Linked DNA regions of Rhinolophus ferrumequinum. The protein of the gene in region 3 purifies or fractionates together with the protein of the main gene of each other region. This does not show direct contact. Links are inferred from orthologs where the notes say so. Each region holds a gene or a part of one and is shown on either strand. Other genes may lie near its edges. The genes, in order: CTDP1, SCAF1, POLR2G and RPRD2.

Evidence for each region.
Region 1: the proteins of POLR2G (region 3) and CTDP1 purify together in Homo sapiens (affinity purification with mass spectrometry; 4 studies listed by BioGRID and IntAct, counting the BioPlex papers as one, with this or other methods). This does not show direct contact. The link is inferred for Rhinolophus ferrumequinum from reciprocal best matches to the Homo sapiens genes POLR2G and CTDP1.
Region 2: the proteins of POLR2G (region 3) and SCAF1 purify together in Homo sapiens (affinity purification with mass spectrometry; 3 studies listed by BioGRID and IntAct, counting the BioPlex papers as one, with this or other methods). This does not show direct contact. The link is inferred for Rhinolophus ferrumequinum from reciprocal best matches to the Homo sapiens genes POLR2G and SCAF1.
Region 4: the proteins of POLR2G (region 3) and RPRD2 purify together in Homo sapiens (affinity purification with mass spectrometry; 3 studies listed by BioGRID and IntAct, counting the BioPlex papers as one, with this or other methods). This does not show direct contact. The link is inferred for Rhinolophus ferrumequinum from reciprocal best matches to the Homo sapiens genes POLR2G and RPRD2.

The regions. Positions count from the first base shown.
Region 1 is NC_046302.1:60,190,670-60,197,983, forward strand, and holds the start of CTDP1 (RNA polymerase II subunit A C-terminal domain phosphatase), read left to right. Parts: upstream 1-4,448; coding exon 4,449-4,753; intron 4,754-7,314. UniProt on the Homo sapiens protein: Processively dephosphorylates 'Ser-2' and 'Ser-5' of the heptad repeats YSPTSPS in the C-terminal domain of the largest RNA polymerase II subunit. This promotes the activity of RNA polymerase II.
Region 2 is NC_046298.1:44,727,415-44,735,286, reverse strand, and holds the start of SCAF1 (splicing factor, arginine/serine-rich 19), read right to left. Parts: upstream 3,008-7,872; 5' UTR 2,091-3,007; coding exon 2,058-2,090; intron 1,959-2,057; coding exon 1,845-1,958; intron 1,598-1,844; coding exon 1,540-1,597; intron 828-1,539; coding exon 733-827; intron 458-732; coding exon 357-457; intron 269-356; coding exon 153-268; intron 1-152. Other genes in the region: RRAS (ras-related protein R-Ras), read left to right, coding at 6,307-6,459.
Region 3 is NC_046294.1:8,066,135-8,073,979, forward strand, and holds the start of POLR2G (DNA-directed RNA polymerase II subunit RPB7), read right to left. Parts: upstream 3,010-7,845; 5' UTR 2,885-3,009; coding exon 2,873-2,884; intron 2,752-2,872; coding exon 2,642-2,751; intron 1,381-2,641; coding exon 1,221-1,380; intron 641-1,220; coding exon 590-640; intron 486-589; coding exon 420-485; intron 317-419; coding exon 245-316; intron 44-244; coding exon 10-43; intron 1-9. UniProt on the Homo sapiens protein: Core component of RNA polymerase II (Pol II), a DNA-dependent RNA polymerase which synthesizes mRNA precursors and many functional non-coding RNAs using the four ribonucleoside triphosphates as substrates.
Region 4 is NC_046305.1:50,692,019-50,699,001, reverse strand, and holds the start of RPRD2 (regulation of nuclear pre-mRNA domain-containing protein 2), read right to left. Parts: upstream 3,018-6,983; 5' UTR 2,037-3,017; coding exon 1,832-2,036; intron 1-1,831.

The DNA.
Region 1 (7,314 bases), on a different chromosome or scaffold from region 3:
GGCTCCCAACCACAAGGTTGCCAGTTTAATTCCTCGAGTCCCGCAAGGGATGGTGGGCTCCGCCCCCTACAACTAAGATTGAACATGGCAGGCAGCTTGAGCTGAGCTGCCTCCCAGATGGCTCAGTTGGTTGGAGCGCGTCCTCTCAACCACAAGGTTGCCGGTTCGACTCCCACAAGGGATGGTGGGCTGTGCCCCCTGCAACTAGAAAACGGCAACTGGACCTGGAGCTGAGCTGCGCCCTCCACAACTAAGACTGAAAGGACAACTTGACTTGGAAAAAAGTCCTGGAAGTACACGCTGTTCCCCAATAAAGTCCTGTTCCCCTTCCCCAATAAAAAAAATTAATTAAAAAAAAAATCTCTTTACTTCTCCTGGGTCCGTGTTTCCATTCTTCGGTCTCACGAGACACGATCCTGGCCCACACCCAGAAACTGCCTGCAGATCCAACATCGTTTGGGGACTCAGAGGAAAAATATTCCTCCATCAATTCTATCACAGGCTCAGGAAACTCGGACGTAAGGACCCCAAGGGCACTCACAAGCTCTCTTCCCAATATGCCGTTCCCTGCTGTTTCTCTGCTGTTAATGTGTCCTCTTCCAGAGCCATTTTTCATTCCTTCTCACTGACCTGCCAAACAAGTGACAAAACCTGGTGGCTGTAACTCAGCAGCTCTCCCTGCAAACACTCCCCTCTGATCAGACAACCTCAGAAGTGGGGTCTTTATCTCCAGGTTCTCTCAGCCCTTAGCTGCCAGCATTGTCTTAAGCACAGATTAAATAAGCTCATACATCTGCTCAAAAACTTTTCATGACTACCCACTGCCTACCTTGCTACACATTCAAATAACCCGGTAAGCAAAACTCCCGATACTCAGATCCGACCCCAAACTAATTAAGTCAGAATTTTGAGGGATGGGACCGTGGTATGTGTCCTTTTTCAAACATCCCAGTACTGTTCCTTGGGGTTTTGCCACAAAGGACTCTTATTAAGGGAACGCACAGAACCTCAACCATGATGGTCCTCATGGCCGGAATGCCCATTTCCTCTTTACCTCGTGTCAAAACCCCACTCACCGTCTTCTTCCTCAGGTAGTCACTGCTGCAATAACACGGGAAAATGAATAATTGCAGATATCGTGTTTTAGAAGACATCAAGGCACTCTGGAGAATAAGAGGATGAAAAGAAAGAAAATCCCTGAGAGAGAAAACCTGTCCCCGGATAAACTGCCATCAGTGGCCCTTTTCTTCTCTCAACCATTCGCTGAGTATGGGCAGAGTCTGAGCTCGAGCTTGACAGATGGAGAGATTTGGCCAAAGGGGAGATAAGTCCTCTGTGTTGGCTTGTGTGATGGGCTGGACACAAAGGAGCCCCACATACACAGCTGCTTTTCCTCCCAGGACACTTGCTTAGTGCTGGGGAAGCATGTAGGGGTGGGGTTGTGGCCAGGCTTTCGAGACAGTGTGAAATGTACAGTTTGAGATAACTATGAATGAATAAATTCCCACCAGCAAGAGGGCCTGCTATTGCACACAAGAAGTCTTGCTTTCGAGATATTTGAAGCCAAAACTGGACTGAGCCAAACCTAAGACTCCAGCACAGCCCTGACAAAATCAATATTCTTGATTGTATTGAGGTGATCAGCCCTTCAACGTGTGTGCCCAAAGGAGAAAGGTTGAGGTGTTCTCTGTCTGTGCTTCTTCTATGCACGAGGTGTGGCATACTAATAATACAAACAATCCTGATACCTGTATCTTATGTTTTTGTGTAAGTTCTGGTGAGGGCACTGGGCCTGGTGAGCCAGTGCAAAAGGGAGGGAGGGAGACCAAGGAGTGAGTCCTGAGACGCTCCTTGGCACAGCACTCGAGAGGTGGCAAGAAGGCTTTTTGGAGCACAGCAAAATGGCCTCCTGAGGCTTCCATGACTGTTCAGGGTAAGTTTCGGGAGGGTAGCAGCTGAGAACTTGCAACTACCGCTAAATCTGAAAAAAGTATGTTTTTGTGACAGCTCGAGTGACCTGGGGGTGGTGACAGGGGCTGAGGTCCCCTCCTTTTATCAGGAAAAGGATTCAAGCATCACAAAAAAATGAAATGCCACCATGGCAAGGTAGGTAAGATAGGACATTACAGTCACCGTGTGGCTCAAGCATACAGAGGTGGGGAAGCGCCAACCACCTCATGGCAAAAACATGAAAATGGTGGTGCTGTTTTCTAAGGAATAGGGTCAAAATCACTTTAACAGAAAATATACTTTCACCAGAAGGGCTAGACCGTATTAATTCCAGAAAACGAAGCTCCTTTAAGCGAGGTGGACTTGCTTCTTGGATAACCAGAGAAAAAATCAGCAATAGCTCCATCTAGCTGGGCAGTGTGCCTTCCTTTAACACCTGCCAGGCCTGACGACCTGGGCTTGGAAAGGAGCTTCTGGAGAAGGCTGTATGGGAGGACCAGAGGTAAAGCCCCAGGTAACACAGGTGGGCAGAAAACAGTATTGACGTTGAACACCCTCTTCGGAAGCTCTGAAGTCCATGAGGCATTTTTTTAACACTCAGAGAAAATAAGTGAGGTTAGTTCTATTTACGTGTTGTAGGCCTACTCCTATTTTCTATTTCTTCAATTTCGGTATGTTTGTTTTTCTAGGAATTTTTTATGCATTTCACCTAAGTTATCTAACTTGTTGGCATACAGTTGTTCATATTATTCCCTTAGAATCTTTTTTATTTTTTGTGAGGTCGGTAGTGCTATTTTCTTTCATTCCTAATTTTGGTAATTCTCTCTTTTATTCCTGATCAATCCAGCTAAAATTTTGTCAATTTTTTAAAAATCTTTTCAAAGAACCAAAGAGTCTTTTTAATCTTTTGGCTTTGTAGATTTCCTCTACTGTTTATTTGTTTTATTTCTGCTTTAATCATTTCTTATCTGTTTGTTTTGGGTTTCGCTTTCTGATTTCTTACGGACAAAGGCTAGATTATTAATATTTGTTCTTAATCTTTAATATATTAGATATTTTAGCCACGTATTTCTAAGCATTGCATTAGCTGTAGCACACAAGTTGTAGTATATTTCTGTTTACTTTCAATCATAAACATTTTGCTGGTCTGATTTCCTTCGATACATTGGTTACTTATGACTACTGTTTAACATCCAACCAACTGTAAATTTCCCATGTTGGTTTCTCACTTAATGTCATGGTGCCCAGAGAAAAAGCTTGGTATGGTGTCAGTCCTTTTACACTTTCTGAGGATTGTTTTATGTCCTAGCACACAACCTGTCCTGGAGCAAGTTCCGCACGGAGGTAAAGAGAAGGAGCATGTGCTGCTTTGAGGATTCACAGTTGTTCCAGCCCGCTGTCCTTTCCGATCTTGCACCTCGTTGTTCCACCCGACGTTGACGTTGGGTATTGAAGAGCACAACTGCCACTGTCACTTGTCTGCCTCCCTGTCACTCTGTCAGTTTCTGCTTTCTGCGTCTGAGGCTCTGTCGCTGTGGCAGGTGCTCCGTCCACATTTCCCGGGGGCGGGGGGCAAGAGGGGAATTGCAGGTCTTTAATGGTTGTGAAGAATGCCCTTCAAGGAACCAAGAACGACCATTTCCATAAATTATCCCGCACTCAAAAGCGGCGAGAGCGCCGAGGTATCCCCACGCGCGGCCTCCGCAGGAGTGCGGCTCGGAGGGCGAGAGGCAGGGCCCGAGTCCGAGAACACCGCCAAACACATGACCTGCCGCGAGGTGCAGGGCCGGACGTCCATCGCCCTCTGACCCCTGCCTGGGCACTGGCATGCCAGGACCGCAGCTCCACGACGCCCGCTTTGCAAACCAAGACTCAGACTAATGACACCGGGTCTCAACACGTGATGGGACTGCCGGTCAGCGTCCGGAGTTGCATGCCGGGACTCGTAGTTCTCATGACGACCGCCTTAGCGCGCGAGGGGAATGTCGGACGGCGGCCCGCGTTGTATGCCGGGACTCGCAGAGCCTGACGGGGATACGGGGTATGGCAGTGCGCGGTGCATGGCGGGACTCATAATTTAACAACGCCCGGGCCTCAGCGCATAAACGGAGTTGTGGGACATTAGCAAGCGTTGCATACCGGTCACCTGTACTCATAGGGTAAACGGCGTAGGGACACTGTTCCCGCCGGACCCAGCCCCACGGGTTTGGTACTATGGCGCCTATGGTACCTGCGGCTGGCGCAGCGCCTCTCGAGGACAGTGCGGGCTTGTTTACACGCGGGCCGCACGGCGCACGCACGCACGCGACGTCACGTGACGTCATGCGTTGTCCCGGAAGTCGGCGCGGACCAGGGCGGCGGGTGGAAGCCGGTGTAGGAGTGGGAATCGCAGCGCAGCCACCGCCTCCGCCTGGGCCGGGGTCGCCCGCCCGCCGGCGATGGGCACCGTTGCCTGAGCACCCGTCTGCCGCATCTCCGCAGCGACCCCGCTGGCCGGGATGGAGGCGCCGCCCGCCGGCCGCGTTCCCGCCGAGGGCGTCCCGCCGGCGGCCGTGGCCGAGGTGCGCTGCCCGGGCCCCGGGCCGCTGCGTCTGCTCGAATGGAGGGTGGCGGCGGGCACAACCGTGCGCATTGGCTCGGTGCTGGCCGTGTGCGAGGCCGCCGCCTCCGCGCAGCCCTCCGGACCTGCTCCTGCTCGCGCCGGCTCGGGTGGCTGCGTGCGCGCCGAGCGCAGGCTGAGGTCGGAGCGCGCCGGCGTGGTGCGGGAGCTGTGCGCGCACCCGGGCCAGGTGGTGGCTCCCGGGTGAGTAGGTCGGGGGAGAGGGCAGCAACAGGGAGGGGAGGGAGGGAGCGCCGGGAGGGTTCTCTGGGCCAGGAAAGGGGACCGGCCCGGACACTAGGTAGGAAAGGGTCTCAGGGGCTGCGGCTGAAGGGGCTGCGCTCGGGGAGAACTTTGGAAGGTAGGAACACCCCCACCCCCCGCGGCTGCGCGGCTGCGTGCTTTTCTGAGGCTGCACAAGTCACCGCTTGTGATTTTTGTGTAGGAAATGGTTGTGTTCGTTTCTCTTCTGTAATCGCTGTCTCTCCCCAACACTCGGCATTTGTAAGTTAGGAAAACTCGGTGCGACGGCGAGTACTGGAAGAAGAGCACGCTCCGCGCTTGTCATCGCAGTATAAACAAGCTGTTGGGGCTGTCCTCTGCCTTAGGTGTCGGCAGCCTCGGGAGACGCGGTCGTAAAACCCGGCGGTGTGTGCAGCGTAGTTCGGGAAGGGGTGCAGCCGGTGACAGAGTGGTAGTGCCCCTCCTGCCACGGGCTCTAGCTGTGGGTGCTTATGTTTTCTCATGAAGGACTTTGCTTCCTCTTCTGAAGTGTGTGAACCTGTCTCCGCGCATACTTTCTGTCTGAGTTTACCGGGGTGGTGCTCTTGAGATCGGCTTGAAGTGTGGGCACAGGTGTGTTGTTTCATTGTCGGCAACAGGGAGCCAGGGCAGGGGGACATTCCTGCGCCCTGCTGTCGTGGCCGGTGCGCAGCTTCCTCGGCGGCGACCGGAGTGTGCCAGGTGCTCAGGCCCCTGTCCACCCTGGCGCTCCTCCGGTGGTGCTGCCTGCCCTGTCTCGGCTCCTCTCCGTGGGGCCTGCTCTCACCGTCCACCTGTTGAGTATCTCCTCCCTCCCGGACTCTGATGACCAGGGCAGGATGGGACAGGACCGTGCTCCATCCCAGCCCGGGACCCTCACCCTCGTCCACTCTCCCTCTCATCCCTTGGAGGAAGGTCCCTGGCCGTCAGCTCAGGCGCCCACGCCTGCCCCGTGGATGCGGGTGGGTGGGATGGATGCCACCTGGGAACTGCACCCTCACTGGAGCTGTGTGCCTGGCTTCCTGTAGGAGGGAGGGGCACTGTGCTCTGGGTGACACACTGGCATGCTGTCATCATTACTTTGAAGTCACCTGTTACCTGACCTTCGCTTGGGCGCTAATGAGCCTGTAAACGCACCAGCCTGTGAATGACGGAGACGAAGCCCAGTGCTGGTGCATCACCGTGTAGAAAACCCCAGAAGTGGAGAGGCTTCTCTGTGCCGCTCTGTCCCTCTGGTTGTACAGAGAAGGCCCCCGGGGCCCAGACAAGCTCGTCGGTGGGAAGCTCCACATGTAGTGCTGCGAGCGCATCAAGCTGGCCAAGCACATCCGAGTGACCAGTCAGTCCATTGTCTCCCAGTCTGCTGCATACCCAGTGTGATGACAGGTTCCCAGCTGTGAGTCGCTGCTGCTTTCAGTGTTTCAGTGTTTGAGCCTTGGGGTGCCCCACTGCAGGGGCCCATCACAGGCTCTTTGAGAATTTGGTGACTGACAGCGTTTCTCCTGGAATGTAGGTGTGAGCGAGCATTGCAGCTCCCGCGCAGAGCCCGGCACCCCTGGCAGAGTTGTTCGTTGTCACTGCCATCAGCAGGAGGCATCCTGGCCACAGTGGGCGGGGCTCACTCTCCACAGTGGACAGTTCTAGGAACTTAGGAATGCTGGCTTTCTACTGTACAGTTTCGCAGTGAGGACTTATGTTACTATTATTTGCCTTCATGTTCAGATTATCCCACCGTTGGTCAGTGGGAGCCCCTTCAAGCTGCCTCCTCCGACAGGGCCCCGTGTCGGAGCACCACCCTGCTTTCTGACGCAGTAGTATTCGGGCTCTAGCTCTCGCAGTCCCCGCCCTGGAACCAGCCATTAGGCCAAGAAGTGCTGTTTCCTTGTGATGGAGAATGGCATTTAGAGACAAAGAGCCGTATGCGCTGAGTTCCTTTTCCCAGTCCGCCCCTATCCTCAGACACTTCACGGTCAGCACAGATCCCTGATATGTTCAAGGAAGAGGGAGGTGGGGCCCACCCAGCCTAGTGTTTAACAGTGACCGCTCCCTAGCAGAGTTCAGGGCGCCCAGCCCCGACACTTCCCTTTCTGCTGTGGGCCCTCAGACCTCCCCATTACAGCAGACACGAAAGCTAGTGAAGACAGACATAGCAGGACAGTTTGGTATACAAGCAGGACTTGTGTATTTTGGGGGAAATAACTTGTTTGCAAAGCTCATTCATGATTTGCCTATGGATTTTCTTCAAGGACCAAGCAGAAAAGTTAACATTTATTGGTGACTGACTCGACATCCGGGTTGGTCTCCTTGGCTAAAGCGAGGTATTTTTGGACTCGGGGCACCACTCCCTTTCAGGTGCGGTGATACTCTCTGGAGGGTTGACAGAAGAGGTACTGAGACCCTCTGGGTACCTGAACCCGTCTGTCAGTATCTGCAGGGATGAAGCAAACAGCACACTCAGAGAGGACATTGCTCTCATGTCTTTTCTGATTACCTTTTCTCTCTTG
Region 2 (7,872 bases), on a different chromosome or scaffold from region 3:
TGGCCTTTACTGCAGTGTAAATAGGGAAAAAAACACAAAAATAAAAAGAGTTTGTCTAAATGGCACGATTATCACTATTACATCTAATGACAGCTGTCTCGCACACAAAGCCAAGGCCGCCGCCTGCCCAGCTCTGCCCTCGTCCCACATACCTGTTTTGCCCGTCCTCCAGGCCCTGAGACGGGGCAGCAGGCTGGGCACCGGCAGAGGGATCGGATCCCTGTCCCCGATTCGGACCTCAGCCACCAGCTCCAGCATGTCCTCGCTTCTGCAAGACAGAAGGGGTGAGTGAGCCTCAGGGGTGCTCCCAGCTCCCAAACCAGGGGCTCTCCCAGTCCAGCTACCCAGCAACTCACTCGCCAGGCCGCAGGTCCAGGTGGCTGGGAACCCAGGTGTCTGGAGGATCCAGGACGCTCACCAACCCTGCCAGGAAGCTGTCCGCAGCCATGTCCAGCACCTGGAATAGGGAGGAGGAGCTCCACCCTGTCCCTCATCATGTGAGGACCCACAAATCCCATTTCCCCAACCCCTAACCTCCTAAGAAAATGCAGGGATCCAACCAATTCCCTCGGCCTGACTGCCTCCAGGACCCAGAGCCCGGCCCCCAAGCCCTCCAACACTGCTCCTGATCAGCACCCCAGACTCAGGCGTCTATGAGTGCCCAGCCCCATTTCCCCATCTCCGGGATCCACGCCTCAATGCCCTTCCTCCCCTGGCTCCCTCCTTACTCACAGTAGCTGTGTCAGTTCCTCCTGATTCCTGGGAACGGGACTCTGACCGTGGGCTCTGGCAGCGCCTCCATCGAAGGCCATGACACCGAGAGCCATCTAGAGAGAGATTTGCATGGGGGACTGAGGACAGGGACCTAGGTGGAGAAACCCTGTGGGGCAGAGAAAAAAGGAGCCTGCCCTAGCTCTTGATGAGGGAACCACGCTCCTGCCTGCTCTGCCAGCCTCCATCCACTCCTAAGTCGGGTCCCAGACGGACTTCCTCGATGCCCTTCTGAGGCTCCAGCTCCCTCACCCCTCTGTCCTCCTAGCTGCCCTCAGGATGAAGTCCTGACAAGTCAGCTCGACATTCGAGCCAGGCTGTGAGCCGGTCCCCACAAACCTCTCCTGTGTCCCCTCACGCCTGCTGCCCGCCAGCCCCTAAGAACCTCAGTTCAGTCCTGTAGTGCACCCCTGTGCTCGTCTCTGCCTATCAGGCCTTCTTTTTTACCAGACAACTCTAACACGTCCTTAAGAGATGCAGTTCACCTGTCGCCCCTTCTAGGAAGCCTTCCTGGATTCTGGCCACTAACCTAGCTGGGCCTCCTGCCGTCTCACGGTACCACAGGCTACCTCTGTGCCGTGATCGTGTCTCTCTCCACCAGACTGTAAGCCCCTCCAAGGCAGCCACGGGGGGTTTGACCCATTTTTGGCTCCCATGCCAGCACAAGAGTGGCACCCAGGAGGCCTCAGAAAAATGTATATGAATGAAATTGGGATAAAGAATGCAGAGATGGGTCAGGGAGCTAAGAGGAACCAGAACCCATCATACCTTTATCATTCGGCAGATCCCCCTGCAGGGAACTTCCCACAGCCTGCTGAATGGCCCGCTAGAGAAAAGATGGGGGTGAAGGGGGTGGAAAGAAAGGGTGGCAGTCAGGGGACTCGTGCAAATGGTCACAAGCTCTACTCCTGGGAGACAGGCATTCCAGACACCCTACAGCCAAACTCAAACCCTTCAGAGGAGCCAAGAGTGCAGGCTCCCAGCCCCGCCTCCCCCGAAGGCCCAGGAGTCGGGCCCTGGAATCCAGACTCCCAGCCCCTCCTCCCTTGGCCCCAGATGTCTAGCAGCCTCACCAGGATAAAGGCAGTAGGAGAAAGCGTAGGGTCTCTGTCCGGGGGACCATCGCCCCGATCTTCACCCGACTCCTCTGTTTTCCCTCGAGACTCATCTTCTTCCTCCATGGTCACCTGGAAGTTGAGGGGGTGAGTTTGGAGTTCAGACAAACAGGGCTGTGGGGTGGGGTGTGGGGTGTGGAGGGGACAGAAGCAGAGGACGAACACAAAGACCTCAAAGGCCTCCACCATTGCCTCAATCAGCATCCTCTTCAGTGTCCCTCCTCTCCGCCACTCATCCCGGTCCTTGGGAGGGTACTGGGTCCAATGCAGATACCAGAGGGACTAGAGCGATTCTCTCCCCTGGTCTGGATTTCAGCTGCCTCCTCTGTTGGAAGGGAGGCCCTCCCAGCCTATTTCAACACCCCACCCCCCAGTTCCCACCGTTTCCCCCACAACCAAACTTAAGACCTCACTGGCCCACTTTCATGGGAGCCAACACAATGCCAAGATTTTTTTCTGTTGAGTTGTGATTTCAAATAGTGTGCTCCATAGTCTCATACACCTAGCTTTCCCAAACTGAGGTATGCGCCAGTGTGCTGGGTGTATCTCAAATATGACACAACTTCCTAAAGCATCAATCTTCCTCGATGGTGAGGAACGAGAAACAATTTATTTATATATACAATAGAAAGTGGACCCATGATAACGTGATTTACAAAACCAACATGCCACTTTTGAAATGAAAACACTAATTTCAGAAAGGTGTGCTGCTCACCAGAACCCCTGGGGACATCTGCCTATGTCCTGTCTGCCCATTGTGTGGAAGCATGGCTAAAGCCTTTACGATATCACAAAAATTCATAGATTATACTAAAGTTGAAAGGTCATCCTTCAGATTGGGGGTTGTCTTAATTGGGCTTCAAACAACAGGAATATTTCAGCTGTGGGATTGCCAGCGACCATCAAATCTGCTACTCTGAAACAATATCCAGTCTCAAAGTTTCTAGAAAGCTTCAAATCCCTAACCCCCAACTCAGTGTGCTTATCTGTATGTGGCAGAATTGGAGTATCTACCTCAGAGGAAGGCTGCGAGAAATTGAAAGGAGACACTTCTGCCACAGTGTTAGCATAACCCAGTACTCAATACAGAGTAATAATAATAATCGTTATTAGTCTTTAGGGCCCAGGTTTCCCCCCCCGTCTCCCCAACTTCCCCAGCTGTATACCTGCAAAGAAAAGTCCTCTGTCCTGGTCTCCCTTGGACCAGATGTTCAAGCTTTGCCAAAGTTCCTCCATGCAGCCTCCCAGCTCTCTAAGAGCCTGAGGTTCCTTCCCTAACTCGCATTGACACCCACCCTGATAAGGCCCTAAGGACAGTTCCAGCCCTGGAGCTGCTCACCAGCACCTGGGGGCAGGGTGGGGGTAGAAAGCGCAAATTACAGTGACTGTCACATAACAGAAGCTTAACCAAGGTCTGACTACAAACACACAGATCCCAAACCCTCAGCAGGTATGAAGATGCTCCCTTGCCCACGCAGACATGCCCCAGGCTCTGCAGATACACCCAAGGCTCCTTGGGTCTTTTCCATATGAGAAGGCCCTGCAGACATTGCTAGATCTCTCTAGATCAGTCATTCTCAAACTACAGAGTCTGACAGCAGTATATTGCTTCACAAATAGCTTGTTATAAAAAGTAAATCAGATGCTGAAAATTATTCATAATACATCGCAAGTAGTAAGTGGAAATATCAATTAATGGGACATGGGTATTAACTTAAATACATGTCGGTGGGTACTGGGCCTCAATGAAAAATGTATATTTTCTTGCTATAGATCAAGGTCAAAAGAGCTTAAAAAGCATTGTACTAGATGATTCTATAAACTTTCCCAGACTAATGTAAGCTAATTCGAACTCTTGCCATAACACCAGGGCAACACAAAATTTTAAAATATTTTTCATCTCAATTACCTTCTAAAGTGCAAATACACTTGAGCTCAGCAAATTTTCCAATACTCTCCTTTGTCTTATTCTCCATCTGATTATATGGCCCCAAACGGCATTCGAATTTGCTGCAGGCACACTCAAAGCCACCTAGATGATTTCAGGTCCTTTTAACTGCCCCAGCCCCCTGTCACCCAGATTAAACACCTCCCAGATGATGGAGACCTCTCAGCACATCTCAATATTTGCCTCCCTCCCTTGGTGAGCACATCCCACCTCTAAAAGACTTTCTAACCCAGGAAGTTCTTTCAGGCCCGCTAAACGGCCCCGGACCCAGGTAGCTGAGTGGCATCCTCACGTCAGCCCATGTAGACACTTCCCAGCCCCAACAAACATACCCCAGGCGCTATAGATGGCTCTGCAGAAACTCCTCAGCTCTTGCAAACCTCCTTCACCCCTGGGATATATCTCAAGATCTCAGGTTGGCCCCAGAACCCTATGAACAGACCCTAGCCTCCGGTCAACCCATAAAGACGATCAACAGTGCCTACAGAGATGACCCAAGCCGGCTATATGATGGAGGGCAGGCGCCAGCTTCGGTCCAGACCCTGTGGACGTTCCCAGTTCTCCCGGGGATGCTCCGTAGGTGGCCCCCGGCACCCAGAGACACGTCCCAGGGCCTTGAGAAGGCCCCCCGTTCGGCGCCAGGTTCCGCCGCCGCTGCCGGGCCAGAGGCCACCCCGCTAAGTCCTCCAGACCCTGTGGCGTGTTGGAGAGGACCCCAGGACTACTAGCGACCCGACTCCGCCCCGCCCACCCCAATAGGCCTGAGCCCCGCGGTCCGGACCACCGCCGCCATCTTACCCCGCCGCTCGGGCTGCGGCTCCGGCCCCGGCGCGGGGCGGGGCGGGCTGGGGCGGGGGGTTCGCTAGCGGAGGGAGGAGAGGGGCGGAGCTAAAACGCCGCCGAGCTTGCCGGGACTTCAAGTACCGAGCACGGTGCCGTGAAGGCTGGTGGGAAGGCTCCGGACTCAGTTTCCCAGAAGTCAACGGGCCACACGGGCAGGGGTGCGCCGGGAGGCGTAGTCCGCGCGTCGCCTCCGTCACGCGGGCGCAGCAAGGAGGTGAGAGGTGAAGTGGGCGTGGTTGCAGTAGCCCGCGATGAGGCCCCACAATTCCATGCGTACGCGCGGAAAGAGCTGCGGAACAGGACGTGACGTAAAGAGCACTCAGCCGGACAGATGCAAGGGAATTGTAGTTCCGCGGAGTAAGTAGTGGAAAAAAAAAGCTGTCCTGCCTGGGAATTGTCCCGCCCACATTGTGGGGATCCCAGAATCCCGATCCCCCCCAGTCCCCTCTAAATTTAGAACCAAGAAGCCCTGCCCCACAGCCTCCTTCATTTAGGTCCGAAAAGTCCAAATTCCGATTCCTCTCACTTGGCAGAGGAGTCCAGACTCCCATTTCCCTCCTCCTTCCTTATATCCAGGAGTTGGGCCCTCAGGCTTTTCCTCCCTCAGACCATTTCTGGTCTTAAGCTCGTACTTTACATGAACACAAGTGTTCGGGTTCCCCACACCAATTCCCTCGAGATCCAGAATTCTGGGTTCCCAGAGCCTCGAACCCCGGGACCCAAGAATCTGGACTTCCAGCTCCCTCCTTTACGAAACGGGTAGTCCTAATAGTAAGGACCCCCAGATCTCCTCCCCTCCGGGATACGGAACTCCAGGTCTCCAGACCAGTTCTCTCCTACGGAGTTTCCTTCTTCAAAGATCCAGAAATCCTGGCTCTAGGCCCTTCATGACCCAGGCGTCCCGGCTTGGGCGAGCTGGCTCATGGATTAGGAATGCAGTGATCTCACGGCCCCTCCCTGCCCCGTTACCCGGCTGTCCCCCTCCAGGGCCCCAACTCCCCTCCCAGTCTGTCTTCCGCTTGGCTGGGACTGCGGCAACCGGAAGCCTGGGTCCCTTAGCGGGCGGAGACTCCAACATCCAGCCCAAACGCCCGGGTCGGCAGTTTGGCTCAGATCCCAGGACGGAGGTGGAGCTTCCCCTCAGGACCTGCTCACTTCCTCGGAGCGCGCCTATATACGGCCGCGCGCGAGTCGGCGAGCCCCGCCTACTAGAACAAGGCCTTGGGGAAAGTGCCCTGAGAAGCTGCTTCACAGGATTCTTCATTTGCATATCCCCTCCCCGAATAATCTTCCCGACCTGTCTGCCGAAAGAATGAGCTCTTATTAGCATAGCCACGCCCCCAAACGGCCCGCCTGCCCAGAGCGCGTGGAGCAGCTCTGGGTAAGCACAGTTCTCTCATTAGCATATCCCCACCCCTTTCGGAATTCCCCTTAGTGGCGAACGTCGTTCCCCTGCCTTTATTAGCATAGCTCCTCCTTTTCCCTGGCCTTACCTCCTCAAGTGTTCCGAGACTTGTGCCCTTCTTGCCGGAGCTCATGATTATGCAGTAGCCTTATTAGCGTGGCCCGCCCCTAGGCCCCGCCCGGCTCCCCCCAGGCGGTAGCGGCGGCGGCGGCAGCGGTGGCGACATGAGCAGCGGGGCGGCGTCCGGGACGGGGCGGGGGCGGCCCCGGGGCGGGGGGCCGGGACCTGGGGACCCCCCACCCAGCGAGACACACAAGCTGGTGGTCGTGGGCGGCGGCGGCGTGGGCAAGAGTGCGCTGACCATCCAGTTCATCCAGGTAGTGGGCCCTCACCCGGGGGGTGTCCCCGGGACCCAGAACGTAGCCCTTGGGGGGGATCCCTGAGACCCCGATTTCCCCCTCCATCCATCACTGAGACCCTCCTATGAGGCCCTCTAATCTTAAAAATTCCCCTCAGATCGTGACCCTGAGCGCCCCAGGACCTCCACCCCCTACATGAGGGACCTTCCTCCTATACTCATCCTGAGACCCACCGTCCCTCCTGCCAGAACCCCCCTTCCCTGCTGACCTGACCCAGATCACCTCCTGGGAGCATCCTAAATCCATGTCACCACATTCTGACCTTAAACACTCTCGTGTGTCCGCCCGTAGGTGCCACTTTCCCTCACCCTGAGTCCCATCTCCCCCAAATCCTAGGCTCCAGCTTCCCTTCTGAGCCACCCAGAGCCTAACTTAGGAGAAAGCCTGTGCCCAAAGCCCTTGAGATGATTCCAGTCTGGATGCTTAGCTCCTTCAGAGACCTCCCTGAATCTAGAAATTATGCCCAGACTGTTCCTGAGGCCAATCTGGGACCACTCTAAAAGAGGCACCCTCAGACCCTAGGAGAGTTCAAATAGATCCTGCCAGTTGGCTCTTCCAGAGAACTGTAAGACCCCCAAGTCTTGTGGCTCCCCCATCCTACCAGACCCAGACCTCTACCCTCCCCCAAGGAAAACCAACCACTCCTCCATCTTGAGTTCTCCTCCATTCCAACTCTCTGAGCCCCTCTCAGAAACTCTGGTTAGCCCCCAAATCTCCATGGAAGAAGCCCCCAGATTCTTGATATCCCCAGAAAGATCCACTCCTTGGGAGTGTCTCTGACCCCATAAATGCCTGTCAGGGTCTCTAAGACTCTAGACACACCTGACCTTCTCCTGAGGTGCTCTGAATACACACCCCTAATTCCCCCAGGGCCTGGTCCCTACACCCTCCCTCCAGCACAAGCCTCAACAAGCACACCTCCAGAAGACTGGATGCAGCCCTCAGACCCCCAACTACCATATCTCCCCTTCTCCACTTAAAATCCACCCCTGCCCAGGAAACCTCCACCCCATTCCCAAGGGGAACACCCTCCCACCTCAGAGAAACCCTAGAAAGGTGTCTGCTCCTGAGACGCTACTGCAGAGGCCCTTGGGTCCCAGACCCATTAAGAGACCCCAGCCAGGCCTGCATGGCAGCCCTTGTCTGTGTAGAGAAAGGCCCCCCGTCCCTAGGCCCCTGTCCCTAGGGGCAGACCTGAAGCTGTCCAAAGGCCTGGCTGGAGGCGGGCGGGACGCAGGAAGGGAGGGGCCCAGCCTTAGGGCGGGGCAGTTTCTCCACAGTTGGATTGGAATTGGGACCTTCCCCTGGGAGGAGACACTAAAAGCCGCCCAAGGAGGGGGGGGGGGAAGGAGGAGGGGGAAAAAAGAGGGA
Region 3 (7,845 bases):
GGCACTCACCCAAGTAATCATCCATCAGGGAGCCAATAGCAAACTGTAGGAGGGAAGGTAAAAAGGAAATGAAGCCTAAGCCAGCACAGAACTATCCTCTAAGCCCCAGCCCCAGGCCTTCTGCCCACCCATCCCCTCTTCCTGGCAGAAGAGGAGCACAGAACATCCAGGAACTCTGGGTGGTAAGAAATGAACAGCTCCTAGCTCTGCCTGGTACAGTCAGGGAGGCAGGCAAGAGACTCACGATGTCATTCTTATCCACACGGGTCCCCACAATCTTCAAGCGGATCTCATCGTCCTGCTGAATCACAATGTCCTGGGAGATGGGAACAGTATACTCAGACACCCGCCAGCCAATATTCTCCCTCAGAGCAGCTAGTTCCCTCCTCCCTCTCACTGACTTCTTCCTACCCACTCACCTCATCCACTGTCTTGTAACATGGTGGGTTGGAGTTAGGATCAAACTCCATCTCTGATGGGATGGACTTGAAAGGAAAATGATAATGGGTCAGCACTTTAAATGGATGCTCCAGTAGATGGTCAGGAATGAGTGTCTCTCCTTGGCCCCACCCACAATGCCCAGACTTACATGTCGAGAGATGAAGCAGGACATAGGTCCAATTTCTGTGAAGAGTCCAACCTAGAAGGAAAATGAGTGACCCTTGCTCTTTCTTTTGTTACCCAAAGTCTTCTAAGCTTCCCACCTGTATCTGATTTCTAATTATTTTCTCCATGTTTGAAACCACTCTGAATTATAGCATTTGTTTTCATTTCCCATTTTTCAAGTTTCATTTTAAGTTTAGCAAATATGGTGAAGTAGTAAAGAGCTGAGACCTGGGACTCCTGTCAAATCCTGTCAGTCCAGGATTTGAACACTTGTTGGTCATGTGACACCGGCCACTAGACTTAACTTCTCTCAGTTTAAGCTTCTACAAAAAAGGATAAAAGCACCCACCTTATAGAGTCGCTGTAAGGCTTTATACATGACCTGGCCTGCAATAACTACTCAATCAACAGAGGCTACTATTGTTATGACTATTAATATGGACTTACATGCCCTGAGTGAGGCAGGGCGAAATTATTACACCTTTTGACAGGTGAGGGAACTGAAGCACAAAAAAATGACTTAGCCAAAGGACATAGACTTAGCAAGTGGAGTTGGGACCTATCCCCCATCTTCTGAGAGATCACCCCCCTGCCTCCTCTATCTGTTGTCTCACCTTGTTGACCTGAGTGACAACAGCGTCCACGACTTCCCCCTTAAAGGGCCGGAAAACAATGGCCTTGTACTTCACTGGATAAAGGACAAAACCTCGGCCTGGCTGGATCACACCAGCACCAATATTGTCAATGGTGGTGACAGCAATTACAAAGCCATACCTGTGAGGAGGATGAGAACAAAAGGGACTGTATGTGGAAGAGCTTCTAAAACCATCTGCAGGGGCAGCCTGGGGGGGAGGGCAGCTCAGTTGGTTAGAGCGCGAGCTCTGGGCAACGGGGCAGCCGGTTGGATTCCCACACGGGCCAGCGAGCTGCGCCCTCCGCAACTAGAATGAAGTCAATGAGCTGCCGCTCAGCTCCCGGGTGGCCAGATGGCTCAGGTGGTTGGAGCGCGGGCTCTCAACCACAAGGTTACTGGTTTGACTCCTCGACTCCCGCAAGGGATGGTGGGCTGCGCCCCCTGCAACTAACAACAGCAACCGGACCTGTGTGAGCTGCGCCCTCCACCACTAAGATTCAAAGGACAACTTGACTTGGAAAAGTCTCGGAAGTACATACTATTCCCCAATAAAAAATAAGTAAATAAATAAATAAAGCCATCTGCAACAAGACTCAGTGAACCTGGGGGTCGCGGGCCAGTACAAAGAGGAAGCAGATGGCATCCCTGACGCTAGAGAGCCTAACGACCAAGAAGGAAGACAGGATGATCAGTATATATAACGCCCAACACTGCTCTCCTAATTTCACAATACATGTTCAATAAGGCTGCAGTCCTTGAGCTAAGAGACCTCAGTCTTTGAGATCCTCAGAATCACCTGGGAAGAACTTATTAAAATGCAGATTCCCAGGCCCGTCCCCAGAGTCCTGATTCTGCGGGGAGGGGATGAGCCTCAGGAAATTTCACGTTCAAGAGATACCACAGGTTATTCTGATGATGGCGGCCCAAGTAGTCTGCAGCCCTGGTCTCATCCCAGCTCATTAACACCAGTGTGAGCGACCTCTGTGCGTAGCCCAGAGATGTGTCATGCCAGTCCCTGGGCATGGAGATAGAGAAAACCAGGAGAATCACAGACAGAGCAGACACAGGAACAATGATTGGACTGTGGGCTCCATGACGGCTGGCCTCATTCTATATCGTTCCCAGGGCCCAACACAGGCCCTGGCACACAGCAGGAGCTTTAGAAACGTGTGCAGAGTAAGTGAATGACCAATCTAAGCTGAGGGAAGTAAATCTTGAGATCCAGCTTTGCAGAGGGCGCCATGGGAACCCAAAACAGGAAGCAACAGACTGCTTGGGGCGCCTACGAGTGTGTGAGAGGGTTCCCCAGAGTAATTGGCAGGACCTTGCAGAATGAGTAGGAGTTGGGAAGGGGTTGCCTTGTATGCATAGATCAGGTGGAACAGAGAGCACGGCACTCACTTGCCGGTGCAGGTCCCCTCTACCTCCGTAAAGAGCTTCTGTTTCACCGTGTTGAGCAGGTTGGGGCCGAAGTAGCGCGGGTGCAGCAGGATCTCGTGCTCCAGGGATATCTGTGGGGAAAGTGGCATGGAGACCGGGCAAGGCGCAACAGGAAGATGCGGCAACTCTTCCCGGCGCCCCGCTTCGTCCTCTCTCGACCCTGCCCTCGCCGCCACCCCGTGCCCTGCTCACATGGTAGAACATCTTCCCGGAGAAGGAAGGAGAGCAGCCGAGTCCACACCTTCGCGGGAAGCGGTATCTCCAGCTCAACCGGAAACACAATCTTTCGCTGCAACCCCGCTTCCCCACCAGAGGGAGCTAAGAGGGCGGGACTCCGCCCTTTCCACGGACCCGATTGGGCCTCACTGTGGTGGGCGGGGAATCCAGGAAGCTCGGCCCTCCACCCCGTCCACCAGCGATCAAAATCCGCTCTCTTAAATTAACAGTCCCTGGCCCAGAATACATGCTCAATAAGTACTTTTAAACGGAATTAATTAATTAATGAAAGGTGGCATAAATAAAGCTCTTTAGCAGAGTGCATTCATTTACCACTCCAGGTAGATGGTATCAAAATTGAGTTAAATTGTAGGACACCCAGCTGGTGTCAGAATTGCTTGGATGGAGGGGTTGGGGGTGGCGGGGAGCACCTTGTAATTGGAGTCAGAATTCTTAGTAATAAATACTTAAAACTGATCACTTCCTAATCATTTTACTACAGTTTGCCATTGTCAATACTCTTGAGGTTATTTATACCTATTTTGTCTGTGTGGTGTAAATATTATATAATTGTATATGTAGGTATAAGAGTTCCAGTTGCTCTGATATCCTCACTAGCCCTTGGTATTGTCAGCAGTTTGTTCATTTGTTTATTTGTTTTTGTTTATTTAACTATCCTAATGACTGTGTAGTAGTATCTCATTGTGGTTTTAGTTTTCATTTCCGTAATGACTAATGACGTTGAACATCTTTTCATGTGCATATTTGCCAAGAGTGATGGTTTCAAAACTGAAATCAAATCATGTCACCCCCCGACTTAGAACCCAATGGCTACCCAGAGCACTAGAATAAAATCACTGTGACCTACCAGGCAGGGACCAGATCCAGCCAACTCCTTTTTCTGCCTCTCTTCCTTTTGCTTTCTCCACTCCAGCCACATTGCCCTCCTCTCCCACCTCAGGACCTACACACTTACTATTTCTCCTGCCTAAAATGCTCTTAGCTCTGATACCCACCTGCTGGGGGCGGAAGGGGGCTCCTCATCCTTCAGGTATAAGCTCAGTATCACCACCACCAAGAAGCCTTCCATGACTACCCTGACTCAAGTAGCCACACCCCAGTCATTCCTTTATTGTATTGCCTTGTTTCATTTTCTTCCTTGAACTTAGTCATATTTGGACTCATTCATTTAGATATGTGTATATTGCCTGTTTCCCCTCAAGAAGGGCAGGTGTTCCTCTATATTCATAATACCTAGAACACTACCTGGCACACAACAGATGCTCACTATCTATTCACATCACTGAGTCAATCTCTAGCACCTAACAGAGCACTCTGCAAATAATGGAGTTTAACAAGGATGGGTTGATTGAACCTCATTCTAATAATGAACATATTACTATCTTTTTGAGCTCCCCAGGCATGGGTTGGCCATGATAAACTCTCCCCTAGCCCTGATCCTTTTGCTTGCTAAGCTTCAGGATCAGAGACAAACTAGAATAGAAAGGGAAAGTAGCAATGGAGAATAATCAGCTCTCTTGAGATTTGGATTACAAAGAAAGTTTGTTGGAGAATTGTTTCAGTTATCTTTTGCTGGACAATAAATCACCGCCAAACTTAGTGGCTTAAAACAACGACAATAATTTATTGAGCTCACAAATCTACAATTTGGGCAAGGCTCAGTAGGGAAGGCTTACTCCTGATCCATGAGACATCAGGTGAGGCAGTTCAACAAGGGACTGGAGGATCCACTTCCAATCTTGGCTCAATCACATGGCTGGCAAATTGAAGCTGGTTGTTACCGTGTTTCCCCGAAAAAGAGACTGTGAGGACAGAGCCAGGAGTGCAGTTTCCAGGCTCTCGCCCTCACGTGGAAAGGTGCTCATTTGGGTAGTAAATGGTCATCAACTCTGATTGGATGGTGTGGGGACAGAGCCCCAAGAGAGCAATTTCCAGGCTCTCGGCCTCATGTGGAAAGGTGCTGGCTCGGGTAGTAGATGGCCGTTGGCTGTGGCTGGTTGGCCGTCAGCTGTGGCTGGTTAGCCAATTGGCCACTGATATAACTGCCGCGGCTGCGCTGGTTGGTGAGTCAAGTCAAGGGGACTCGGTCAGTTGGCAGAAAAGCGCACAGCAGGTCGCACATCATGTGAATCTAGCCTCCAGTGAGACTATAGTGGTATGACTCCCCTACCTATGGCTCCGTGGGTGTTCCTTTTTGGCCTAGCCACATCCTGCGTTCTTATGTGGGGAGCAGAAGCTGAGACCTCACAAGCCGCCCTGTATGACAAATGGCCATCAGCTATAACCAGTGAGCCATTGGCCAGTAATATAACTGCTGTGGCTACACTAGCAGAAAATGGGGGCTAGTAAGAAGACGGTGGCTGAGCGAGCAGGAGCGGATTGCAGTTAGTGTGGCGGAGTGTGGATTGAGGATTCTGTGGCTCCTGCCTCCTGTGTCTCCAACCCCGCCGCCAGTGAGACTATAGTGATATGACTCCCCTACTTATGACTCTGTGGGTGTTCCTTTTTGGCCTCACCGTACGCTGTGTTCTTATATGGGGAGCAGGACCGGAGACCCCGCAGGCTGCCCTGCATGACACATGGCGCAGTGAGCAGGGTACGGTGCTGGCCAATGCTCTCCGAAGGGCGGCGGAGCAGTTTGTGCAAATGAACACTCAGTCTCAGGAAGACCAGGAGGAGCAGATGCTGGAGAGCTGGACCCCCATGGAGGAGTGAAAAGACGTGGACGGTTCCCCAACCAGCATAGGCTGGAGAAAGCGAAGGTCCTTGCGGCCCTGTGGGCTGGGAAGTGCTTGCTGACGCAGCCTGGATGCAGGCCTTGTAATTCCAGGAGGAAACGCTTGCTGAGTCCTCCATGGGAGCTGAGGGTGAGGTCAAGGTCGTCCCTCACCCCCAGGACATCTGTGGGGACAGAGCCCCACAGAGCAGTTTCCAGGTTCTCAGCCTCACATGGAAAGGTGCTGGCTCAGATAGTAAATGGCCATCAACTGTGATCGGATGGCCATCAGCTGTGGCTAGTTGGCCGTCAGCTGTAACCAGTGAGCTATTGGCCACTAATATAACTGCTGTGGCTACGCTAGCAGAAAATGGGGGCTAGCAAGAAGATGGTGGCTAAGCTAGCAAGCGCGGATTGCAGTTAGGACGGCAGATTGCAGCTAGCAAGTGGGGTCGGATGGTTGGCAGAAAAGCGGATGGCGGGTTGCAGATGGTTTGGCTCCTGCTTCCTGTGTCTCTGGCCCAGCTGCCAGCGAGAGCATGGTGGTGTGGCTACCCTGTCTGTGGCTCCGTGGGTGTTCCTTTCTGACCTCACCATGTCCTGAGCTCTTGTGTGGGGAGTACGAGCTGAGACCCCACAGGCCGTCCCACATGACAACAGCCCTGGCGAATGACTATGTACTATGGGGAATTGCCTTCCATCCCTAATTTAATGGACCGCTTGACTGTTTGCTTGGGAACATACCACCCGGTAGTGGAACTGGCGGATGTTTGCGTTTGTGTCTTGACTGGCCACTATCGAGAATATGTAAGCACCTTGACTGTGGGTCGCTGTTGTTCCTGCACGGTAACCTGTGAGGCCTGGAGAGAGTGGCAGTGCCCTGAGAGCCCTGGCTGAGTCCAGGAAGTCTGGCTGTGCCCAGAGAGAGTGGCAGTGCCCTGAGAGGCCCTGGCTATGCCCAGGAAGTCAGGCTGTGCCCAGAGTGGTGGTACCCTGAGAGGCCCTGGCTATGCCCAGGAAGTCGGGCTGTGCCCAGAGAGTGGCGGTGCCCTGAGAGGCCCTCGCTGTGCCCACGGAGGCTGGTGGTACCCTAAGAAGCCCAGGAAGTCTGGCTGTGCCCAGAAGGACTGGTGGTGCCCTGAGAAACCCTGGCTGTGCCCAGAGAGCCTGGCTGTGTCCAGGATATTGCATTCACCTCCAGGCTCCTCGCACAGGGCCCCTCGCGGAAGACGCTTGTCGCACAGATTGTGAGGCGACACCCTGTAGAGGTGGAGTGTGGGGACAGAGCCTGGAGCGCAGTTTGTAGGCCCTCGGCCTCACGTGGAAAGGTGCTCACTCAGGTAGCAAATGGCCATCAACTGTGATTGGATGGCCATCAGCTGTGTCTAGTTGGCCGTCAGCTGTAACTAGTGAGCCATTGGCCAGTAATATAACTGCTGTGGCTACGCTAGCAGAAAATGGGGGCTAGCAAGAGGATGGTGGCTGAGCGAGCAGGAGCGGATTACAGTTAGCACAGTGGAGTGTGGATTGCGGATTCTGTGGCTCCTGCCTCCTGTGTCTCCAACCCAGCTGCCAGTGAGACTATAGTGATATGACTCCCCTACTTATGGCTCTGTGGGTGTGCCTTTTTGGCCTTACTATATCCTGCGTTCTTATGTGGGGAGCAGGACCAGAGACCCTGCGTGACTCCCTGCATGACAGAGACCTAGCTGGACCAGCAGCTCTAATGTGTCTTTTGGAGTAAAAATTAATATAAGACCCGGTATTATATTAATTATATTATATTAATTATATTATATTATGTTATACCCAGTTTTGTATTAAAATAAGACCAGGTCTTATATTAATTTTTGCTCCAAAAGACGCATTAGAGCTGATGGTCCGGCTACGTCTTCTTTTCAGGGAAGCACACTAGCTGGAAGCCTAGCTGTGGCTGTGGTTGAAACACTTACATGTGGCCTCTTTGCATGGCCTGGGCTTCCTCCCAGCATCATCGCTGGGTTCTAAGATCAAGTGTCCCAAGAGGACCAAGCATAAGCTGTATCCCCTTTTATGATTGAGCCTCAGAAGTCACATACGTAGCATCTCCCTCGAGGTCGCAATCCCTCCCAGACTCAAGGCGAGAGACCTTACCCTATAAAAGGAGCAACGATGTCATATTTTAAAAAGATCATGTGGGAAGCCAGATCTTGTCAGGGCCATCTTGGAAAAT
Region 4 (6,983 bases), on a different chromosome or scaffold from region 3:
TGGGGACCAACGTATTCTTGCAAATGATGTAACCATACAGGTAAAGCACCAGAGCCCAAAGGTAGAAAATGTTAAATGCTCGCATAATTTAGTAAAAAATGTTTTAAAACAGGAAGGAGACTATGTTTAAGGAAAACATGTCCTCAGGCTCACATGAACACTGCTTGCTCCCACTGGTGGACCAAGCGCATTAAAGGAGTAATCTTGAGAACGTTCTTTTACAAAGTTAAATGTGGCCACTGTCATCTGATATCATCTGATATGGTGAAGCCAAATCCTAACTCCACCACTTTACTGTGTAATCTTAAGCAATTTAGGTAATATCCCGAGCCTTAGTTTCCCCATCTCTATACCAATGATTTAAAAATCTATTTCTGAGGGTTATTTTCAGATAGGAGATATATTATAAATGACAGTAAAGGGCTGGGTACATAGCAGGTACTTAATATGTAAGGGTCTTTGAGGACTGTTATCATACTTGATTTTATATATTCTAATTTTACCTCTTGAAAAGAAAGTAACTTTGATCTGCTATTGGTAAATAAAGGTAATCCGTCTTGGTTCTACAACCCTTTGAGCATTTATTATTCAAAGAGCCACAAAACATCTCTCCCAACAATAACTTTACATATACAAATGGTTGAAAGCTTGGGGCCTATGATTTTGCAAGTTTTATCCATCTGTTCCCTAAAAGGTAAACACAAATCAAAACACTTCAGAGGCCATGGCAGAAGTGGAATAAGAACAACTGGATGACGGGTATCACTGATGACAAGCCATGGTCAGGGAGCAAAAGAGCTAAAATTCAAATACAGAAGCAACAAAAGACCTAAAATTCAAAAATCCCTGAGAAGAAAGTTAACCCTCTCTTCTCAGCAGGAAGCAACAGTGAATTCTCCACACTTCCTCCTAGAAGATTTGAGATCTTTGGCACACCATCCACGTTTCCTGACAGTTTACTAGACCTCTTTTCTGTAGTAAAGCAGCAAAGTGGAAAAACTGCCCCACGAAGGCAAAAAAGTAATAACTGGGGGGAGGGGGCGTACTATATATTCAAAAAGCTCATTTCTTGATTTCCTGTTTTGATTATTACCTATGAAACCAAACTCAATTCCTTAAAAAGGTATTTCAAGTGATTAAAAAGTAGTCGGATGTGGGTTTTTTTTTCATTTTAAGGTATTATTGACAATACTTGACTACATACAGTAGTTTCCGGTCATTATCAAGAAGCCTGTATTTCATTGCAGCAAACACAGGTAACAGGGAAACCTCCCAGGTGGTCGCCTCAGCTCTATGTGGAGCACACGTTGTTTAACATTCACCCAGATAAACCCTTCTTATTACACATCCCAAGTTTCAGGTCAGTAGAAAACAGAGTGGTCCAACATATTCCAGCGAAATAGTTGGATTTACTAGTGGTGCTTAGATCAGAGCTTGTCTAGCATCAGGAAAACCAGAAATCATTAACACCTCACGGCCTATAGAAGAAACGAACGGACGCGACAATTTCCGTGAAGGTTCAGTAAAGTCAACGGTACCTTACGAGGCTTTGAAAAGACATAATGTGTAAATCGCTATAGATCTGGGGCCAACGGCCCAAGGTCACACCAAGTCAGTGGCTACATATCCACGAAATGCTAAGCTTCCCGCAATTCAGGAAAACCCTGGCTAGGAATGGAGGAGTCTGGGTCTGGGAACACTCGGGTCAAAGCTTTACTGTGAACAACCCCAGCCAAATGCAGTGGCTCCATGGGAAAACCTCAAGCGATTCGGGCGGTATTTCCTTCCATTTCCCCGGTCTTCCCTTCCCCTAGGCACCCCCAACACTCACATCTCCGGAGCCACTTCATCCAATGGTAGACGATAGTAGTGTGGTGTTTCTTGTTCTCTATACACCAAGACGACAGGCCTTGAATAGATTCCATGGTGTTAGTTACCGACTGGAATTTTCGATCCAACGAGGACTCCAGAGCCCCTGCCGAAGAGGCCGACGAGGAGGAGGCCTTACTGCTGCCTCCGCCGCCGCCGGCCGCCATCTTCCCGGTTTGCACAAGCGCTGCTGCTCCTCTGGCGGCGGCGGCGGCGGCGGCGGCGGCGGCGGCGGCGGCAGCGGCGCCAGCGGCGGCGGCGGCGGGAGCGGGCAAAACAATCACTGCGAGTGCGTGAAAGCCGTAGGTGGGGAAGGAGGCCGGGGGGTGGGGGTGGTGCACGCGCTAGGCTCTTCTGGAGGTAGGATCGGCAGGCCAGCTGCTAGGCACGCTGGCGGCTCCAGCACGCTGCAAGGAGGGGCTGCGGGTTTCGAAGGTTTATCAGAATGGTTCAAGGGGTTGTGTGTAAACTAGTCAGTAATCAGGCAAGAATTACGCAGAAAACAGGTCCTTGCAAAGCCTTTCAAAACGGCTGGCCCCAAACTAATGGTTTTATACTCTTGCGCTCTTTACGCTAAGGCCCTTTCCCACTCCTATCCCCACACTCCTGTTAGGGCGGCTGTGAATATCTTAAATTTAATACTACCCGAGTGCCCCTTCGATTGCAGAAATCTTTTTCTCTCCTTTAGATCCTCTAGTACAGAAAAGGCCCAAGGCTACCTAGTCAGGATTTTTTTTTTTGCAACGCAATAGCAGCAAAGGAACAGCAACAGTATCGCGCACGCGCCGCTTGGCCCCGCCCCCCGTTTCCTTCTCAACCTAGAGAGCAGGGGGAGGTGTCATGGCGGGGCAATCTGACCAATCAAGGGAGAAGAAGGAGAAGCGCGCGCAGGAGCCCGCAAACCCCTAGAGCCGAGGAGGCGCTTCAATTACTTGTGCGCCTGCGCAGCACCTCCGCGTGTAGCGGACTGGGAGGAAAAGCGGGGAGGGGAGGGTAAGGGGACTGGTCAAACTAAGGAGAGGTTGGGGGAGGGGGTTACACCGCCGCCCCGCCTTTTGCTTCCCAGCGAGGTCTCTCACTTGGGGCTATCCAGATCACATAACAAGGCCGGGAAACTCCCACCGCTCAGCGGCCACTATTACTTTCTGGCGGCTGCCGCCGCCGCCGCCGCTGCTGACTCCTCGGGGCACCGACGCTCGACCAAGTGGCTGGCAGCCATCTTGCAGTGCCTCTGACAGGTGCGCATGCGCCAGCTCCAGCGAGCCATTCACTACGCAGACTCCCAGACGAAGCAACATTTCACAGTCCCCTTGGACCATACCATTCATAGCCGCTTGACTATTTGGATTATATGAAGAGGAAGTAAATTAAGTGAAACGAAAATTTCCCCGTAAAATTTTGGAGACGAGTAAAAGATAAAAGACAGGATATGGTCTCACCTTCGGCACAATCTCAGAATTGTACAATACATTATAATTTACAAGAGCCTTAAGTAATATTGATTAGCATCATTCTATCACATCTGTCTAGGTAAATCCTCTGGGCAGATTTGGAGGCTTCCGTGTCCAACTGAACACATGTAATTATTATATTTCAATTCTTTTATGTCACCCCAGTAGACTCACTTTTCTTGAGGCAGAGAATCTGTTTTTTCGAGCTCATATCTAGTATTAATTCAACAAAAAGTTGTTGAACGTGTTGAACCAAGCACTCACTGTTCTACCTGTTGGATAGAGTAACAGGAAAACGGACAAAAATTCCTTCCCTCTAGGGCTTAGTGTCAGGAGACCATAACCAAATACATGTCAGGGAGTAGTAAGTTCTATTAAGAAGTATGAAGCAGAGTAAGGGAGATGGGCGGTATCGTGTGGGTGATCCTAGATGGGCATGGGAATGGTGGTTTAATGAATCGGAAGGGCTTTTGGAAGGAAGTGACACTTTATCTTGTTAAACAAAAAATTTTGAACTTCATGGCTGAAAGCCTTTTTAAAAGAAAGAGTTTATTAGCCCATTGCTGGTGAAAAAAGAAGACAGGTTTTGGGGCGTGGAGTCTAAACCACCAGCAACATAGCTAGGTAGGAAGGATAACATGTCCAAGTCCCTGAGTTTTGCAGGCATTTTTACACATGGAGTAGGGAGGAGAAATTTATAAGCCATTCTGAAAGAATTTACATTAGCTATAGACAAAGGGGATAGGCCCAAGAGAGTCCATAAAACTCATGCATAAACAAGAAACAGAGACCCCTGGGGTTCAGTAGCAGCCTAGCTATTCTCTTTTTTTTTAGATAATCTGGAAATGGCCACCTGGAAGTTAATTTAATAATTCCAAAACACACTAAGGCAGTGTAAGCAGTCTTTTGTTGGTTTTGCACTGCCGTGGTTACCTGATTAACCCCTTTTTGTCTCTTCCTTCCACTCTCTGGCCTGCTATAATTTAATTTAGGACTTCTCAGAATTTTCTCCTTGTCAATCTGAATGTCGAGAACAAGGTAACCAAGCAGATACCGGAGAGGAGGAGGAGAACATGCTGGCAGAAGGAACGGCAAGTGCAGAGGCTCTTAAAACAGAATGTCTTGACATATTAAAGGAAGAACAAGGAGGCCAGTGTGGCTGGAGAAGAGTAAGAGAGGGGACAAGTGGTACAGTATGAGGTCTGAGAAGTGAAGGGAGAGAGTTCGTGTGGAACCTTCCAAAGCCACTGTAAGGATGTTGGCTTTGAAATGAGATGGGAAGTCCTTTTAAGCAGAGAAGTTACATGGCAATCTTTTTAAATGATCACATTGGTTGCTATGTTGAAAATAGACTTCGGAGCCACCAGTTAAGGAGGCTGTTGGAATAATCCAGGCAAGGAAATGATGGTGATCTGTACCAGAGTGCAAAAAAGATAATGAGAAGTGGTGTCAGATCCTGGATCTATTTTGAGGGAAGAGCCTAAAAGCATGTTCATGGATTTAAGGGGAGTGTGGGAGAAACAAGTCTGACACCAAGGCTTTTGACCTGAGCAATTCTCAAAGCCTTTTTTTCCTTATCATTGTCCCTAAAGATTCATTTTAGATATTTTTTCCTAATCCCCTCAACCTCTGTGAAATTTTAATGCTACAGATATGCTGTGTATCTGTATATGTATAATACAATGTGTATAGCTGTGCTTTCTGCAAGAGTAAACATGAAGTTTACTCTTTTTTTTTTTTTTTTAAAGGAGGGCACAGCTCAGAGTGGCCCATGCGGGGATCGAACCGGCAACCTTGGTGCTACTAGCACCGTGCTCTAACCAACTGAGCTAACTGGCCACCCAGACCTTACTCTTTATATTCAATGCAGTTAAGAATGACTAAAATCTTTAAGTTAAATATTTTAAATGTTAAAACTATTAATATTTAACAACTTTATAACTGTATTTGCTGAGTAAACTTTCCTTACATAAATTGTAATTTCTTACATATGCAAATTACAACTTACATAAACATATAACAGCAATGTAATCATTTTTTAAAAAATTATTCAAAACTATTATATTTCCACAACAGCAACAACAACAAATAAACAATCCAATTAAAAAATGCACAGACGGGGGCCAGCCCGGTGGCTCAGGCAGTTGGAGCTCCATTCTGCTAACGCCGAAGGCTGCCGGTTCGATTCCCACATGGGCCAGTGGGCTCTCAACCACAAGGTTGCCAGTTCAATTCTTCGACTCCCGCAAGGGATGGTGGGCTGTACCCCCTGCAACTAACAACGGCAACTAGACCTGGAGCTGAGCTGCGCCCTCCACAACTAAGATTGAAAGGACAACAACTTGACTTAGAAAAAGTCCTGGAAGTCCTGGAACACACTGTTCCCCAATAAAGTCCTGTTTAAAAGAAAAATGCACAGAGGACCTAAACAGACACTTCTTCAAAGAAGACATATAAATGGCCAACAGATACGTGAAAAGATGCTCAACTTCACTAGCTCTTCAGGAAATGCAAATCAAAACCACAAGGAGACACCATCTCACACCTGTTAGAATGGCTATTATCAATAAGACAAGAAATAACAAGTGTTGGAGAGGATGTGGAGAAAAAAGAACCCACCTACACCGCAGGGGAATTTAAACTGGTACAGCCACTATGGAAAACAGTATGGAGGTTCCTCAAAAAATTAAGAATAGCGCTACCAGATGACCTAGCAATTCCTCTTCTGGGCATCTAACCCAAAATTTTGAAAACATTTATTCATAGAGATATATGTACCCCTATGTTCATTGCAATATTAGTCACAATAGCCAAGACATGGAAACAACCTAAGTTTTCTACAATGAATGATTGGATAAGGAAGATGTGGTACATATGTTTAAGGGAATACTACTCAGCCATAAGAAAGGATGAAATACTGCCATTTGCCACAACATGGATGGATCTTGAGAATATCATGCTAAGGGGGAAAAAAGTCAGACGGAAAAGGACAAGAACCATACGATTTTACTCACATATGGGATAAAAAATTGAAAGCAACAAACCCACACACAAAAACTCAGACACAGACAACAGTATGGTGGTTACCAGAGGGGAGGTGGAAGGAGGATGATGAAGGTAAAGGGGGTCAAATATGTGGTAATGGAAGGAGACTAGACTTTGGGTGGTGAGCACACAGTACAACATACTATATTATAGAATTGTACACTTGAAACATATAATGTTATTAACTAATGTCATCTCAATACATTTAATTTAAAAAACTTATTTTCCAGAAAAAGTAAAACAATTGAAAATATATTAAAATTTTAGTGAACTTTTAACTTTTATTTGGCATGAGAAAATTACTAGCTGCTAGATATTTATTTAGCTATTGTTGACATTTTTTCTTCTCGGCATTTGATATAGCTAAAGATTAATTGAGTAACTTGTAGAATTAAATAATAAAATATAAGCTATTTTTATTTGCTTCTCAAAGCCCAAGTCAGATGCAAAGCACTGAGAATCATAACATTCACAAGGTAGTAAATGACAGCCAATAGTCATGTGTAGGCCACTTCCTGTGTTATGACTTCAAAGTAGGGCAAATGAGGGAGAGAAAGTTCTCCAATCACAGCTACCTATTTCTTATAGTTTTGTAGCACTGGCCTTGCATACATTTTG